Linked DNA regions of Notamacropus eugenii. The protein of the gene in region 2 interacts with the protein of the main gene of each other region in a biochemical or structural test. Links are inferred from orthologs where the notes say so. Each region holds a gene or a part of one and is shown on either strand. Other genes may lie near its edges.

What was found. The genes of interacting proteins can lie anywhere in the genome.
Region 1: the proteins of MAP1LC3A (region 2) and PHB2 form a complex in vitro, tested with the Homo sapiens proteins (2 studies listed by BioGRID). The link is inferred for Notamacropus eugenii from reciprocal best matches to the Homo sapiens genes MAP1LC3A and PHB2.

The regions. Positions count from the first base shown.
Region 1 is NC_092874.1:195,386,567-195,393,606, reverse strand, and holds the start of PHB2 (prohibitin-2), read left to right. Parts: upstream 1-4,011; 5' UTR 4,012-4,018; coding exon 4,019-4,145; intron 4,146-4,351; coding exon 4,352-4,436; intron 4,437-4,705; coding exon 4,706-4,785; intron 4,786-6,669; coding exon 6,670-6,854; intron 6,855-7,040. Other genes in the region: EMG1 (ribosomal RNA small subunit methyltransferase NEP1), read right to left, coding at 1-72, 3,401-3,568.
Region 2 is NC_092872.1:418,665,968-418,673,078, forward strand, and holds the start of MAP1LC3A (microtubule-associated protein 1 light chain 3 alpha), read left to right. Parts: upstream 1-4,108; 5' UTR 4,109-5,213; coding exon 5,214-5,253; intron 5,254-5,921; coding exon 5,922-5,977; intron 5,978-6,047; coding exon 6,048-6,154; intron 6,155-6,913; coding exon 6,914-7,076; 3' UTR 7,077-7,111. Other genes in the region: DYNLRB1 (dynein light chain roadblock-type 1), read left to right, coding at 997-1,040. UniProt on the Homo sapiens protein: Ubiquitin-like modifier involved in formation of autophagosomal vacuoles (autophagosomes). While LC3s are involved in elongation of the phagophore membrane, the GABARAP/GATE-16 subfamily is essential for a later stage in autophagosome maturation.

The DNA.
Region 1 (7,040 bases), on a different chromosome or scaffold from region 2:
AGGATCCCGTCCATTTTTCAAGAGTATAGATTTGTGTTTGTCACAGTTGAGCAGTTCATAGGTTTTCCCTACCTGGGAAGAGAAAGAAGTAGAAAGCAGTAAAGTCTGAATTTAATTTTTCAAAAAGGATGGAGCACTGTATGTACAAAGACAGTTCTAAATCCAATTTAGCCCCATTTGGCTATCCAGAAATTAATAGAGTAAGTTCATGCATTGCAAGTTTTAAGTGTTGAGTAAGTTAAGGGTAATGGGAGATGAAGTAGAAAAAGTGGGAATGAAAGTAACTAATGATGAAGGGTCTTGTCATAAAATGCTGATAAGACAACTAAGGCTAGTCGGAGAGAGGCATGCTAAACTTAACAGAAAACAAGCAGACTTAACAGGAAACAAGCAAGAAACTACATGGAGGTTTCTATAATCTCGGGAGGTGGTGTGATACAATGGAAAATTCCAGTTCTGCCACTCAGTATATATGATCTTGCGCTTGTCATTCCACACCTCAGTTTCCTCATCTGGGAAGGGTTGGACCCTCCCACATCCTATGACAGGGTAGACATTGTTAAGGTAGTTGGGGAACTAAAGAGAAGGGGTGGGTCAGCAATAAAAACAAAATTCAGTAAAACAAAGTACTAAGTATGAAAAGCAGAGGTTGCCAACCTGGATTAGAGAATGGTAGTGACACTGACGATGGACTTTTAGAATTTAACTGGGATTCAGAAGACTGAGAAGCTCCTTTGTTTACCCTTCTACAATTACATGAACTAGGCAGTCTCTCAAAATCACAGTGTTAGAAATGGAAAGTACCTATAGCAAGGTGTACAAGAAGGTTGTACAAAGATCATGAGCTAGGCTTATGGGAATCTTTTGTGTATAGTGTATGATGCTAGATAAAACCATAAAGGGAAAACTTCCTGAGAACCACAACTCAGTATAGGAAAAAGGTATCTCTGAGAAAGGTTTTTTAAAAATATTAAGAGGATCCATTAGCAGCACTGCAAGAAGGTAGTGTCAGCATCAGTGTCAGAGTTTGTCAGGGATTCAGTGGAAGGAATAAGCTGAAGAGCTTTCATGCTTTCATGTTTTCAGAATCTGATTAAAACACCAAGGCATACTTTATCAGATTTGTAGTATTGAATATACCAGTAAAGAAGAAGGGAGAGAGCTGATTTTTAAAAACCAACAGTTAACACGAAAGAAGAATTTAAGTAATTTACAACTTAACTTTTCCCTCTCCCCCTCAGCCCCACAAACTAATGCAATCAATTGTCCAGATTCGCTTTTGTTAGAAATATCAGTAACTTGGACAAAATGAAATATATATAGTGGCAGATAATCCTGATAAACAGGAAACTCACTGAATTTACTTTTTTAAAAAGATAAAGGTAGGTGAGAATTTCCCCTCCCCCCAAAAAGGGTTAAGTCTTTGCATAGAGAGGTTTGCAATGAGTGATAATTCAATAATTAAAAAAAGAATCAGTGTTTTCATCAGTCACTAAATGCTGCATACAACTGTGATCTTTTAGAGGTACTGATTCATGTGGTGCAGCTATCCTGGCATAACTTGCAAAGTACAATTTGCAAGAATAGTCTTAGAAAGCCAACTGTCCTATCCATGCCACAATCAAACACCAGAATAAAACATCGAAGGCCTTTTTTAAGGTATGCTGGAACCAAAAAGGTTTGTGGGTAGATCAGACATAGAGAGGACGGACTCCCATCAACAACTTGGATTAAGGCTTGGGTGGCAGCACACTAATCAGATCTGCAGGCAGAAAAATCCTAGGAGTAGTTATTATGTTAGATGACATATGAGAGCCATAAAATTTAATAGGGATAAGTATAAAGTGTCCTTTACTTAGGTTGAAATAACCTACACGACAGGAAAAGTAATGAATAGCTACATTAAGGTCACAGCTGTCAGAGTAGTGAGAAGGGATCAGATGGGAGAAAGGTTGCGAAGGTAGAAAGGGCAAGGACTTGGCACAAGATTACATTAATCAAGTGAGGTCCTGAGGGTAACAGATAAGAACCTCCGAGTACGTCCAGGTGAATGATTTTGTTTCTGAAGTCCGTAGCTGTGATCAGTTTTGTAAATAAAGATTCATGGAAGGTGGTTGAGGTCATGCAGAGAGAAAGTCAGTGAAGAGAAGGGAACCCAGAATTGTGCCTTAGGAAACACCCACAGCTAAGGGGAGTGACAAGGATTAAGAAACTAGCCAAAGAAACTGAGAAGCAAAAAACTCTGCAAAAAGCCAGGTCAGGGTAGTGTCCCAGAAACCCAAAAAGGGTTTCAGAAAGTTGTTGCTCAATGAAAACTGGGAAGACATCAGATTCAGTGATTTGAGCGAAAGTGAAACTCACCCTAAGTTTTGTAGAGAATTCTGCCAGGATGAGACGTTGAAGTGGATAAGCTAATTTCCTAAGTCTTGGAAAAGTTGTCCAAAGGATGGCTAAATAAGAATCAGCTAAGGGAATGAAATCTGTACTTGTATGGTATAACCTTTTTGCAGTATTCAGAACCTTACGATAAAAGAAAATGAGGCTTAACTTGCCCAAAATCATAAATTTGAGTTAGAAACTGTCCTCTGTAATAATTCTAATCTCCATTAATTCTGGTGGAGCCAAAAACTGAGCCTTGCTCCTCCAAATCCAATTTTCCCATTATGTGCTAGGTGATGGAAACTACCTGATCCAAAGTTCTTTCCACTGAAACAATTTATTCAAAATATGAAACAGTTGGTGGGAAGGGAATGCACAGGTATTCAAATTAACAAATGGAAGAAGACTAGCAAGTGTTTACCATCTGTAGAAAGCAAGGGGTTAGGAGAGTAAGGAGAAGGAGGTAGGACCCCCTCCACCGGTCACCTCCATCAGCACAGACGGTAGATTTGAAGACTCAGACGGCTGGGGAGGACTGAGTATCCCTACGGGGAGGGGCGCCCAGTGTGACGGATACACACTTCCGAAGAAGCCGTCACGGCACCTTTTTTCGGGGCGGGGCTCCCTCTGCCAATACCAATCGGCCCTCCCCTCAGGCATCTTTCAATCTCCGAGAGTTCCAGCTACGTGTCCCAGGGTCACGTCGCCAGTACGTTTCCGCAGCAGAATTTGCACCCAGGTCTTCCCAACTCCAAGGCTTTATGGCGTCTGGGGGGACGGGGGGCAGGAGTTACCCTAACAGCTTAAATCCCAGAGAAGATCCATGACAGCCTGAACCAGTCCCAGGTGTAGGCTGGGGAGTGGGGAGGCGCGGAAACGAGCCCCCACAACTCCCCCCTAACTCGAGGGGTGAGGGCCAGAGAAGCAGGCGAAGCCCCCACCCCCGCTCCAAGGTCGGGCGAGTCCCTGCTGCAAGGCTGGGGCCCCGAGTCCGCTCCCCTCCTCTCCTTTCCCACGATACCTTGACGGTCTCCAGGCTGGCCCCTTCCAGCACCACCACGAGCCGCCGGCCCCCGCTTTTGCTCCCCGCTCCCAGACGCGGCCGTTTGGGCTCCGCCGCATCCCAATCTCGCTCCGAGTCCCGAATGCGCCGTTCACGTGCCTGGAAAGCATCACTGGGCGCCGCCATCTTGCAACCGGGCACAGGGTTGGAAATGGCGCCAATCTTACCCAGGATGCCTCTCGAGAAATGGGCGCGGGGACGCGACGACTTCCGCCCAGACTCCGTGACTTCCGGTCACCATCTTTGAAGAGGGCAGATGAATCGAGGGAACGATGCCGTGCCAGAGGCACCTTCCCCGGAAGACTGGGCCACGGGACAGAGGGGAGGCAACTTCCGATCACGTGGAGGCGGTGCCCGAAGTTCGGGTCCTCTCCGGATATAGGGGAGAGTTTAGGAGGCAGCGCTCTTCCGGTGCCCTTTCTCCTGGGAGGAGCCGAGTAGGTAGCGGAGCCTCGTGGGAGAGGTGCGGATCCCGGGAGCACCAGCACCGGCCAGGGCCGGGGACTGCGGAAGGGCAAGGGGAGAAGCGCTCGGCGCCCCGGGCCTAGTTCCCCGCCTCGGCGCCAGGGAGCAGACATGGCCCAGAACTTGAAGGACTTCGCGGGGCGGCTGCCCGCCGGGCCCCGAGGCATGGGCACGGCGCTGAAGCTGCTGCTCGGGGCCGGGGCCGTGGCCTACGGAGTCCGAGAGTCGGTGTTCACGGGTGAGAGAGGCGGGAAGGGCCCCCACGTGGACCCCGCCCCGCCCCCTGGGGCCCCTGACCCCGCCGCCCGAGAACTCTGACCTGTCCTTGAGTGCCCGCCCCCCCATCGCGTTCTGCCCCCTCCCCGGGCACCCACAGCTTGGCCGGGACCCCCAGTCCCCGGGCGCCCCGCGCTTGTCTTCACTGGTGTCTCCTTCCCCTTGCAGTGGAAGGCGGGCAGAGAGCCATTTTCTTTAACCGAATCGGGGGTGTGCAGCAGGACACCATCCTGGCAGAAGGACTGCACTTCAGGTAAACCGTGCCCTGCGGAGGGGCCCGTGCCCCGCGGCTCCTCTGCCCTGCCTTCCCCTACCCACCCCCCGAAAAGGGTCCCCGAGGCTTCCGCACCATCTCGTGGGTACGGCCGGCGCCCGAGGGGTGGGGAAACTCCCGTGGAAGGGCTCCGTAGAGCTAAGCCCCTTAACCCCCCTTCTGGTCTGGAGGGGGAGAAGAGAAGTGGGGTTCAGAACCCTCTGGGAGCCCCCCGTGACCCAGCCTCTTCCCGTGCCTCCGCCCCCCAGGATCCCCTGGTTCCAGTACCCCATCATCTATGACATCCGTGCCCGGCCCCGCAAGATCTCTTCTCCCACAGGCTCCAAAGGTGAGTCTGAGCCCCCGAGGCAGGAGGGGAAGGAGGTGGGAGGCCTCGGGCCCTACTGCCAGGCTCTTCCATTCGCTGCCCAGCTCCCCCTGGCATCCCTGCCCTTCCACCCGCTTGGTGCCGGTGCCTAACACATGCCTCAGGGTCTTTCTGTTCTTGTACCTCTCACCTGGGGTGTTAGTTTCTAACAGGTTAGAGGCAGAAGGATGAAGGATAAACTAGTCTTCCCTGTTTCCGATGCCCCCCCCATTTTAGAGGACACTTTAAACGTTACCTCTCTTTTCAGAAACCTTTGTTGGCTCCTCCTTGTCGGCAGAGGAAGCTTTGTGCTCCCCCCAGCCCGCGGGTGGGCTTACCGCTCTGGCGTTCTGTCTAGGAGCGCTGTCAAGTACCTTAGAAACTATCTAGCACCGCCCCTCTTTCACAGAAAATGAGGGACTCCCAGGCAGCCCCATGCTGTAGCACATGCTGCTCCGCCTCCCTTCATGTTCTCCGAGCTCCGGACAAACCACCTACAGGTCTTCTCTTCAAATCAAGTGAATTATTAAATTCCAGGAAATGTCTTGCTTCTCTTCTGTTCTCATCTCATATCTAGAGGTCCTCTAGGTCTGCCTGGACAGATGGCTTTCAAACAAGCCTTCTGCCTGCACTTTTCTCTTCAAAGAAGGACACTCTGGGCTGCTGTTAGAATAACCTTCCGTTGATAGAGATCTAGTCATGCCATTCCTTTTTTCAAAGATCGCAGATGTGTTCTGAGGAAGGAGCATGGCATTGTGGGAACAATACTGCACTTAGGTTTAGGTGGGAATACTTTCTGAGACTCTTAACTGAGTGACTTTGGGCCAGTTAATTACTCCTCTGAACCTCACTTTCCTCATCATTTAAGTTGTTTTGCATACCTTAAAGCACAATAAAGACATGAGCTTTTATTGCTGAACAATAATGTTTCATTTAGAGCCTGTCACAGTGTGCCACCACAAAATCTGCCTAGCCCATTTTCACATGCATGTATTCTGGCATTTCCCAGTTCCGTAGGTTTACGTATACTGGGAGTCAGCAATGAGTTCCCCTCTCCCTTTTCCATGGACTTCTAATCATTCAGAGGCTAGCTCCATCAGTTGGAGTGGTGCATGCATGTAGTGAGTTTCTAAAGTGAGATGTGGGACCAGTGCTCTGATTCAAGTCTGTCTACTCTTCGTGCAGCCTCTCACTCTTTCCTCTTGTCGATTTTGAAACTCCAGTTTTCTCTGCATAGTAGGTGCTTGTTGACTTGAACTTGGTTTAGTTTACTCCAGCCAGCATCAGCCCTGTATGAAGTAGTCTTAGACTTGGAGTGACTTCCCCCTACTTCTGCCTGTGAGAGCCTTCACTCTGCTACACAGTAAAAGTACATTTTATGCATTACTTTCATTTGTGTACACATCTTATTTCCTGACCTGTATTGAGAGTACGTAAAAGACCTTGCCTCGGGTGCTAAGTAAATGTGAAAGGAATGAATAAGCAAGTACCTTCTCCCTTCCCATCACCTTGTACCCTTGCCCTTCTTCCAAACCTGGCTTAGAATTCATTGCACCAAGAGTTGCAAAGCTCCTCAGTACTCTGGGTAATTGGCCACCAGAGCTGAGCTTGTCTGCACATTCCTTAATGCAACTCTCAGGTCTCCCCTGTATATTAGGGGAAGAAAAGATTCTGTCTTCTCTCTTGATCAAGTAGCTACTAAGTTTGATTTCACAAGTGCCTGGTCCCAAGCTAGGTGCTGAGAGAATTCCATACTTAATGTTCTCAGCATTGTGAGGCACTAAAGAGAATAGAAGAGAGCATGTTTGAATGAGGGCAGGGGAATCACCAAACCCTGACCAATGCTTCCTCTTGTTCCCTGCCAAGACCTTCAGATGGTGAACATCTCCCTTCGAGTGCTTTCCCGACCCAATGCCCTGGAGCTACCCAGCATGTACCAGCGCCTCGGCTTGGACTATGAGGAGCGTGTGTTGCCCTCTATCGTGAATGAGGTGCTCAAGAGCGTTGTGGCCAAGTTTAACGCCTCACAGCTTATCACGCAGCGGGCCCAGGTCTGACCTCTTCCACTTCCACCTGCCTAAGTCATCAGCGTTAATGAATTTGAAGCCCCTACCTACGTAGACTCATCTGCTAGGGAAGAGTTGTGGCCAGGTTCTTGATTTTTTTATACAGAGGCAGCTTGTAAACTTCTGAATCCTTTGGGAAAATAGGAAGAAGCAGAACAGTGACTACTTGGG
Region 2 (7,111 bases):
TTTCATTTCAATAAACTTTTAGTCAAGATTTACTATATGAGAGGCCTTGGATTAAGCACTGGAGATTCAGGCTGAGATGAAGAAGACCCTGTCCTTTGCCTTCGAGGAACTGAGGAGTCCATACAGTTTGTGACCAGCCTATCCTCCCCATGGTGTAAAAGATGTCTGCATTTTCTTCTACCACACATATTCTTGCCCCCAGTCTGGGCAAATGGCTATTTCCAAGGTTGCCTTAGGGGAAACAAAGATGCTTCAAACCAGAATTTGAATCTCCCTATTCTTTAATCAATAATTTAGATAAGGGCAAAATAGCATCCTTATCAGATTTGCAGATAATACAAATCTAGGGTAGGGGATGGATAGCTAATATATTGAATGACAGAAACAGAATTTTAAAAGATATTGATGGGCTAAAATGTTGAGCTGAATTGAATAATAAGAATTTTCATAGGGATGAATGTGAGGTCTGACACTTGGATTTTAAAAATTAACCTCACAAGTACAAATGAAGGGAGGCTTGGTTAGACAGTGTTTCATCCAAAAAAGATCGGTGGCTTTTAGTGGACTGCAAACTCTGTATATGAGTCCGTAGGATGATGTATCCAAGAAGGCTAAGGCAGTGTTTGTCAGAATAAAGAGAGGGGTCACATTCAGGAGTAAAGCAACAATAGCCCTGCCATCCCTTGGGATACCCTCCCTTCCCCAGCGAAGGGGAACTGTGCAGTGGGGTGCCTTTGAAGGTAGTGGGATCCCCTTCCTGGAGGTTTTGAGGAAAGGCCAAATTGTCTCATTGGATCTGTTGTAGTGGGAATTATTTTCCAGGTGTGGGTTGGCCTGGATCTGTCCCATTCTGATTTTCTAATTCCATCACTCCTGTAACACTGAGGCTTAGGGAAATCAAAGTACTTGTCCAAGGCCACAGAGCAAATTTGTGGCAGAGCCTGGACTTGGAGTCAGCAATCAGTGTGTGACATATGTCTTTTCTTCTTTTTGCAGATAAAGATTATTTCCTGATTGTGATCCAAAATCCAACAGAATAATTTGCCATATTCGAGATGCCATATTTTTTTTTCTTTAATTTAATAGTCTCCCTGAAAGAAAGCATTCCTGTTGATTCCCTCTCACCACTGAATGGCATGTGGAAAACAATGATGATGTCAGACTGGATTTGCAGAGATCATGTGACCCAGGGCGGGGCCCAAATTGATTTTCTTAACCTTTTATCCATCTAGAATCTTCTGAGGCTGCAACTGTAGCCTTCAGTCATCAGGAAGAAAGCCCTTGGAGACAAATTTAATGGCCTGGGCTGGTACCCACACCCTAAGGTCTGAGCTCCCCTTTGGCCAGGCCTTCCCTCCTCCCAATCCAGGCTCTAGGCTTCTGGTTTTAATTTTGTTGCTGTTTTAAAAGGAACTAAAAATAACTGTAACGATTGTTCTTTTGTTGTATCTTTAAATGCCCTGGTGGGAAGGTCTGCTCATGAGTTATTGCAGGGTGGGGGTTGAGATCTGGAACCTGGATCTGTGAGGACAAAGCAGGCAGCAGGGGATCTAGGGAAAAGTACATTAGAGTTAGAAGAGCTGAGTTCTTTGTAGTCATGGGCAAGTCATTTCCCTTCTCTTGACCTCAATTTCTTCAGCAAAATGAGTTGACCTAGATAACCTTCAGAGGGCCTTCACCTCCAAATCTATGATCCCAAGACCTAGTAGAGGAGTCAGCCTGTGAATTAAATGGCAGCTTGTGGGGGGAGGGGTGAGATCTGAGGGTGTGGCCTCTCCAAGGGATTTGAAGGGGATGAACATCCAGAGGACAGGTACTGGTGGGAATGTGAAACCATCCATCTTTACATTGCAGCCACACTCAGTGGGTCTGGGGAGACTTAGAGCCCCATTGGGCACTGCTCTTGTTCCAGCACAGAGACTGACCAAGTTTCACAGGCCCATAGTAGTAGAGCAGAGGGAGGGACCTGCAAAGGATTTGGGGAAGTGACCCTGAAAAATGAGGAGGAGTCTGAAGGGGTGGCCCGAGGACCAGGAGGGAAGCCTGTGGAAGAAGCATGATCAGCTCTACCCCAGCTTAGAAGACACCTTTCTATGAGCATTTCAGCAGCACTTTCCATGTTTGGGGAAAAGACGAAAAGAAAAATTAACTGATGTCGTGAGGCCCTGGGGGATTCCCTACAAAGAAAGATTCCTTTGGGTCCCTGAGATGCTCCTGACCAATTAAAGGGTTATTCACTAAGTATTTACTGTGTGGGAGCTGGTGTTGCATCATGCAGACTAATCTGTGAGGAAAACCTGGATTCAGGTCCTACCTCATACATACTCCCCTGGACAGATCACTTAACCACTCACCACCCCAGGAAACAGACTGGATGTTACTTTCTTTCTGTATTCCTTATCAGGAACTACTTATACTTTATAAAGTCACAGGTCCTGAGCACTCTGGGGGCACAAAGACAATGAAGAGCATGGAATTCTGAAGTCAAGGTTGCTGGATGCACAAAAGTACCTCTGAGGGGCGAGGTAGCATTTAAGTTGAACCTTGAAGAAAATTTCTAGTGGAAGAGGGCCAACTAAGCCTAGAAAGGTAGGTAGGACTCTGAGTGTAGAGGCCTCTAAATTCCAGGCAGACTGAGGATGATGTACTTTGACTGGGGGCCAAAAGGAGTTATTGAAGGCTTTTGAGCAGGGAAAGGAGGGATAGCTTCTGAAGCTTGGGTGGGAAGAGACCAGGGTATGGGGACCACATAAGAGGCTATTTTGTAGAGAAAATGATTTTAGACATTTTCTGAAGATTTTTCAGCAGAAAGGCTTTACTATTAAAAGGGGTTTGGGGGATAACCCAGAGAATTTTACCAGAAAATTACTTTTTCTGGAACAGCCTATTTTCCATTTCTCAGAAACATCACATGAAATAAGGTGTTTGTGTGGCATGAGGGTGCAAACACCACTTTTAACTAACACCTGGCATGTAAGGGCCAACACCAACTTCCTGTGCATCAGGTGTAGAGGAGGATAGTGAGGCCAAGGCAGCCTTGAGGTCTGGCATATACTGAGTGATTTCCTGCCTTTATAAAAGGACATGGGCCCCTACCCTGGCACTGTGGGTAGGGTAGGGTTTTGTGATGGTCCCTTGAGCCCCAATGCTGCCATCTTTCAACTGCCTCCATCCTTTGCCTCCCCCAGTGGGACATCTTGTAGCTTAGCTGTAACCTGAACATAGGAGAGATACCCTTGACACCTCCTGGACACCAGATACCAGACTCTCTTCCCTTCTCCTCCACTGAAAAGTATCCATAGCCACTTTTTTGAGTTCCATACAGAAATGAGTCGAAGCTCCCTGGGTACCTAAGTCACTTGCTGGGACTGCTGAAGAAACTTTCTCATCCCAAGATTTCAAGGAACCAGGCAGGCCTTTGTGTGTCAGTGGAAGAGCCTCAGTTTAAATTGCTTCTTTCAAATTTGGTTATCTACATCATCCTTGTGTGTTCTTTGCAAATACTTCAATAATTCTCTCCTAGTCATTAGAGGCAGAATTCATTTTGTGCAGTCCGCTTCAAGGCACTGAGCAGAAACTAGGACTGACATCCTGATCATAAATCAAAAAAGGAAGCAACTCTCTAGAATCCTAGAATCTGAAAAGCTGCTTTTACTGAGGAAACCACCCCTTTGAAGCAGGACCAGCACTGGGACCCAGGCTTCCTGCACTCCACTGCAGGGTAAAGCCAATGACTGGTATATCGTTTGTCTCCTGACCATACCTCTTTTGGCATTCTGAGAGGAAGACCAAGAACACGTTTTTCTTTACAAATCTCCAAAACTCCCTAGTTTTTAGTAAGGCAAGAGGGGAGTTAAAGGAGTAGCTACAGGCAGGGGTGACGGGAAGGGTTAATCATTTGTTCCATCAGCAGCTTCTCTCCTCACTCCCTCTGCCCTTCTGGAAGACAGAAACTGCTTGGTAGCCTTTCCCCTGAAACCAGACGGCATTTAAACAAGCCCTCATCGTGAATTTTATATTTTGACATTTTCCTCTCAAACATCAGCGTCTGAAAATCATCTCACTCACTCCCTCCCCTCTTCCTGTCACAAACCCTGGCAAGATTTCGAGCCATGTTTTTGCTTTTATTAAGTATTAAATGCTTTCTAATTTAATTAAAGAAAAGGAAGGGGGGATGGGGGGCTGTCTGTGAAGTTCAGGTAATAAGTCGTTCTGCAAACAGGAGCAATGAACGTACTTGGAGGAGTCCTCAGAATTCCGAACCTTGCGCTCGTGAAACCAGGCCGAACAATAAGTAATCTAGGAGAGGCTTTGTACATCACCTAATTCAACTACCTGGGTGGGGGAACTGAGGCCCAGAAAAGTCCTGGGACTTACCCAATATGAGTTGGGAGTGACGTATATTGGAAAGAGCCAGAAGATGTAGTTTTTGGGTCGTACTTTGGTACTGCTAAGTCACTGAGTGCCAGGGGCAGAGCCTGGCAAGTTGGCATGTGCCTCCTCCGTTGGACTAGATGGGCCCCGAGCGCCCTCCGGCTCCAAGTCCTGAGTGTCTCTGGAAAGACCTAGACATCCTGGCCCACTCCTTGCCATTGGGATCCCTCTTCTCGAAACCAGGGCTGTGTCTCCTGGGGAACGCATGACTGGGGGGCCGTGGGGACCCCGCCTACGGAGCCTGCCGTGGGGCAGAGCCGGCACCTCTGGCTGCAGGCCTCGTCCGTACTGCTGCCGGCCCGGCCGGCGGCTGAAGGCCCGGGCACGCCCCGCCAGTCCCGGCCCGGAATGGGGGCCCCAACTTAGACCCTGAGGGGGCGGGGCATGCGACGTCGCGGTCCAGAGCGGAGATGCGCGGCTACCGGTTGTCATGGCAGCGACCAGGCAGGCGATGTCTCCTCGGGAGCCCCGCCTCCTCAGGCCTCCATTCCTGGCCCGAGCTGCCTGTGCGTCACGGGGTCAGTGGGAGGATGGGGTGGCTTTTTCGTCGGCCCAATGGCAGGGCAAGGCCAGCCTCCCCTTTAAGGAATGTTGTGAAGTGACGTCACCGAACCGAGTTACCATCTCCTCGGAGCAGCAGCTGCTCGGGTTTGAGAAGCAGAACGAGCCCGAGCGCGCGCGACGGAGAACCAGAGCGGCAGCGGCGACAGCTGGATCCCTGACCCTGAACTTCCCTTCCCGCCCCAGCCCACCCCTGCCCGACCCAGGACCCCGGCGCGATGCCCTCCGACCGGCCCTTCAAGCAGCGGCGAAGCTTCGGTGAGGCCAGGGCGGGGTAGGGCGGGGGGCTGTGGGATCCGACCGGGACTCTGCGAGACGTCCCGGGACCTGCCGGCGGGGGAAGAGCCCACGGCCGATGATGTCATGGGCACGCGTGGCGTCACGCAGATACCCGCAGGGTCCCATTGCAGGAGGGCGATTCTGGGGTCGCTCCACTTCGAGAGGTCCAGGGACGGCCTCCCGGACGGGTCCGCCCTCCCCCACCCCGAGTTTGCCCTTTAAGGGGCCTGGGGGGAGGAGACAGACGAGGCCCCTCCCCCGCAGCCCTGGAGTGTTTACTCCGAGTGTCCAGGGCGGGGGAGGGGGCTGGCTCGGGGCCAGGGAGGGTCCCGCGTCCCCCCGCCCCACCCCAGCCCGACCGTCCGCAGCGACCTTTCCCAGCCAGGCCGGGGGAGCCCTGGACCCGGGCATGGAGTTTGGCTGGGTGGATGGCTGAGGTCTCCGGGTAGCCTGAGTCTCGGTTCGGGCCGCGGCCCTGGCTGTCTACCCGGGGGCGGTGCTCGTGCTCGGAGGGGCCCCCTGAGCTGGGTCCAGGCCAGGCTGGTGAAGTGGGGCGGACGCGTGGGTGGGAGCCGCCGCCTCCTTGTTTACGGTCCGCCGCTGCGGCCCGGGGCCGGGCCTCACCCCCGCCTCCCTTTGCTTTGCAGCCGACAGATGCAAGGAAGTGCAGCAGATCCGCGAGCAGCACCCCAGTAAGATACCGGTGAGTGCCGGGGCCCGGGCCGCCCCAAGGGCCCGCCCCCCGCTTCCTCTTACCCATGCCTGTTCGCTAGGTGATCATCGAGCGATACAAAGGGGAAAAGCAGCTGCCTGTCCTGGACAAGACCAAGTTCCTTGTCCCTGACCATGTCAACATGAGTGAATTAGTGAAGATCATCCGGTAAGTGAGGCACACCCCAACTCCCACTCCCTCCAGCCACTCACCTCCCCCTGGTCTGGGCTGGAAAGCACCCGACCAGGGCAGTGCCTCGGGAATCTGACCCCAGGCTTGACAGTCCCAGCCGTGAAAGCTGGTGCCATTCCAGGCATCGTGAAATAGAGGTGGTGTCTACGACGTGGGGGAGAGGGGGAGAGAAGGTTCCCTCGTTCTGCCTCTGCCCTGGTCAGCTGACATCTAGAATACAGCATTTAATTCTGGGACCGTGCTTAAGGAGGGTCATTGACAACTCAAATCAATCCACCGGATAGTGTTTAGGATGGAAAGGAAGTAGAATTCATGCCCTGTGAGAATTACTGAAAGGAAGTAAGTTTATGTTTTAGCTTGTAGAAGTTAGGGAAGACATGATAGCTATCTTCTTGTATTAGAAGAGCTGCCATGTGGAAGAGGGATTGGCCCTGAGCCTTCAAGGGTGGGAGACAGGAGGTGGGAATAAGGATATGGAAGGAGGCACAGCTTGGGTCAGTAGAAACTGCCTAAACCCGAAACCATCCAATAAGAGGCAGGACGACTCTGGGACCTCCCACTGGGCAGGATGGATGGATGACTCTTCTCAGAGATGTTGTCAGGAAGTGGGGAGAGGGGTTGGACTAGAGAGCTCAGAGATTCCCTCCAACTCCAGTGTCAGGGCCCAGAGCTGGGAGTTGGAGGGTCTTGTTGCCTTTCCAACAGACTCCCCCGATCCTCCTCTCCCCTATGCAGCCGCAGACTCCAACTTAACCCCACTCAGGCCTTCTTCCTGCTGGTGAACCAGCACAGCATGGTGAGCGTCTCCACACCCATCTCGGAGATCTATGAGCAGGAGAAGGATGAAGATGGCTTCCTCTACATGGTTTATGCCTCCCAGGAGACCTTTGGCTACTGAGCAAAAAGGGGCAGGGAGTATCCTGGCCCTGGGAA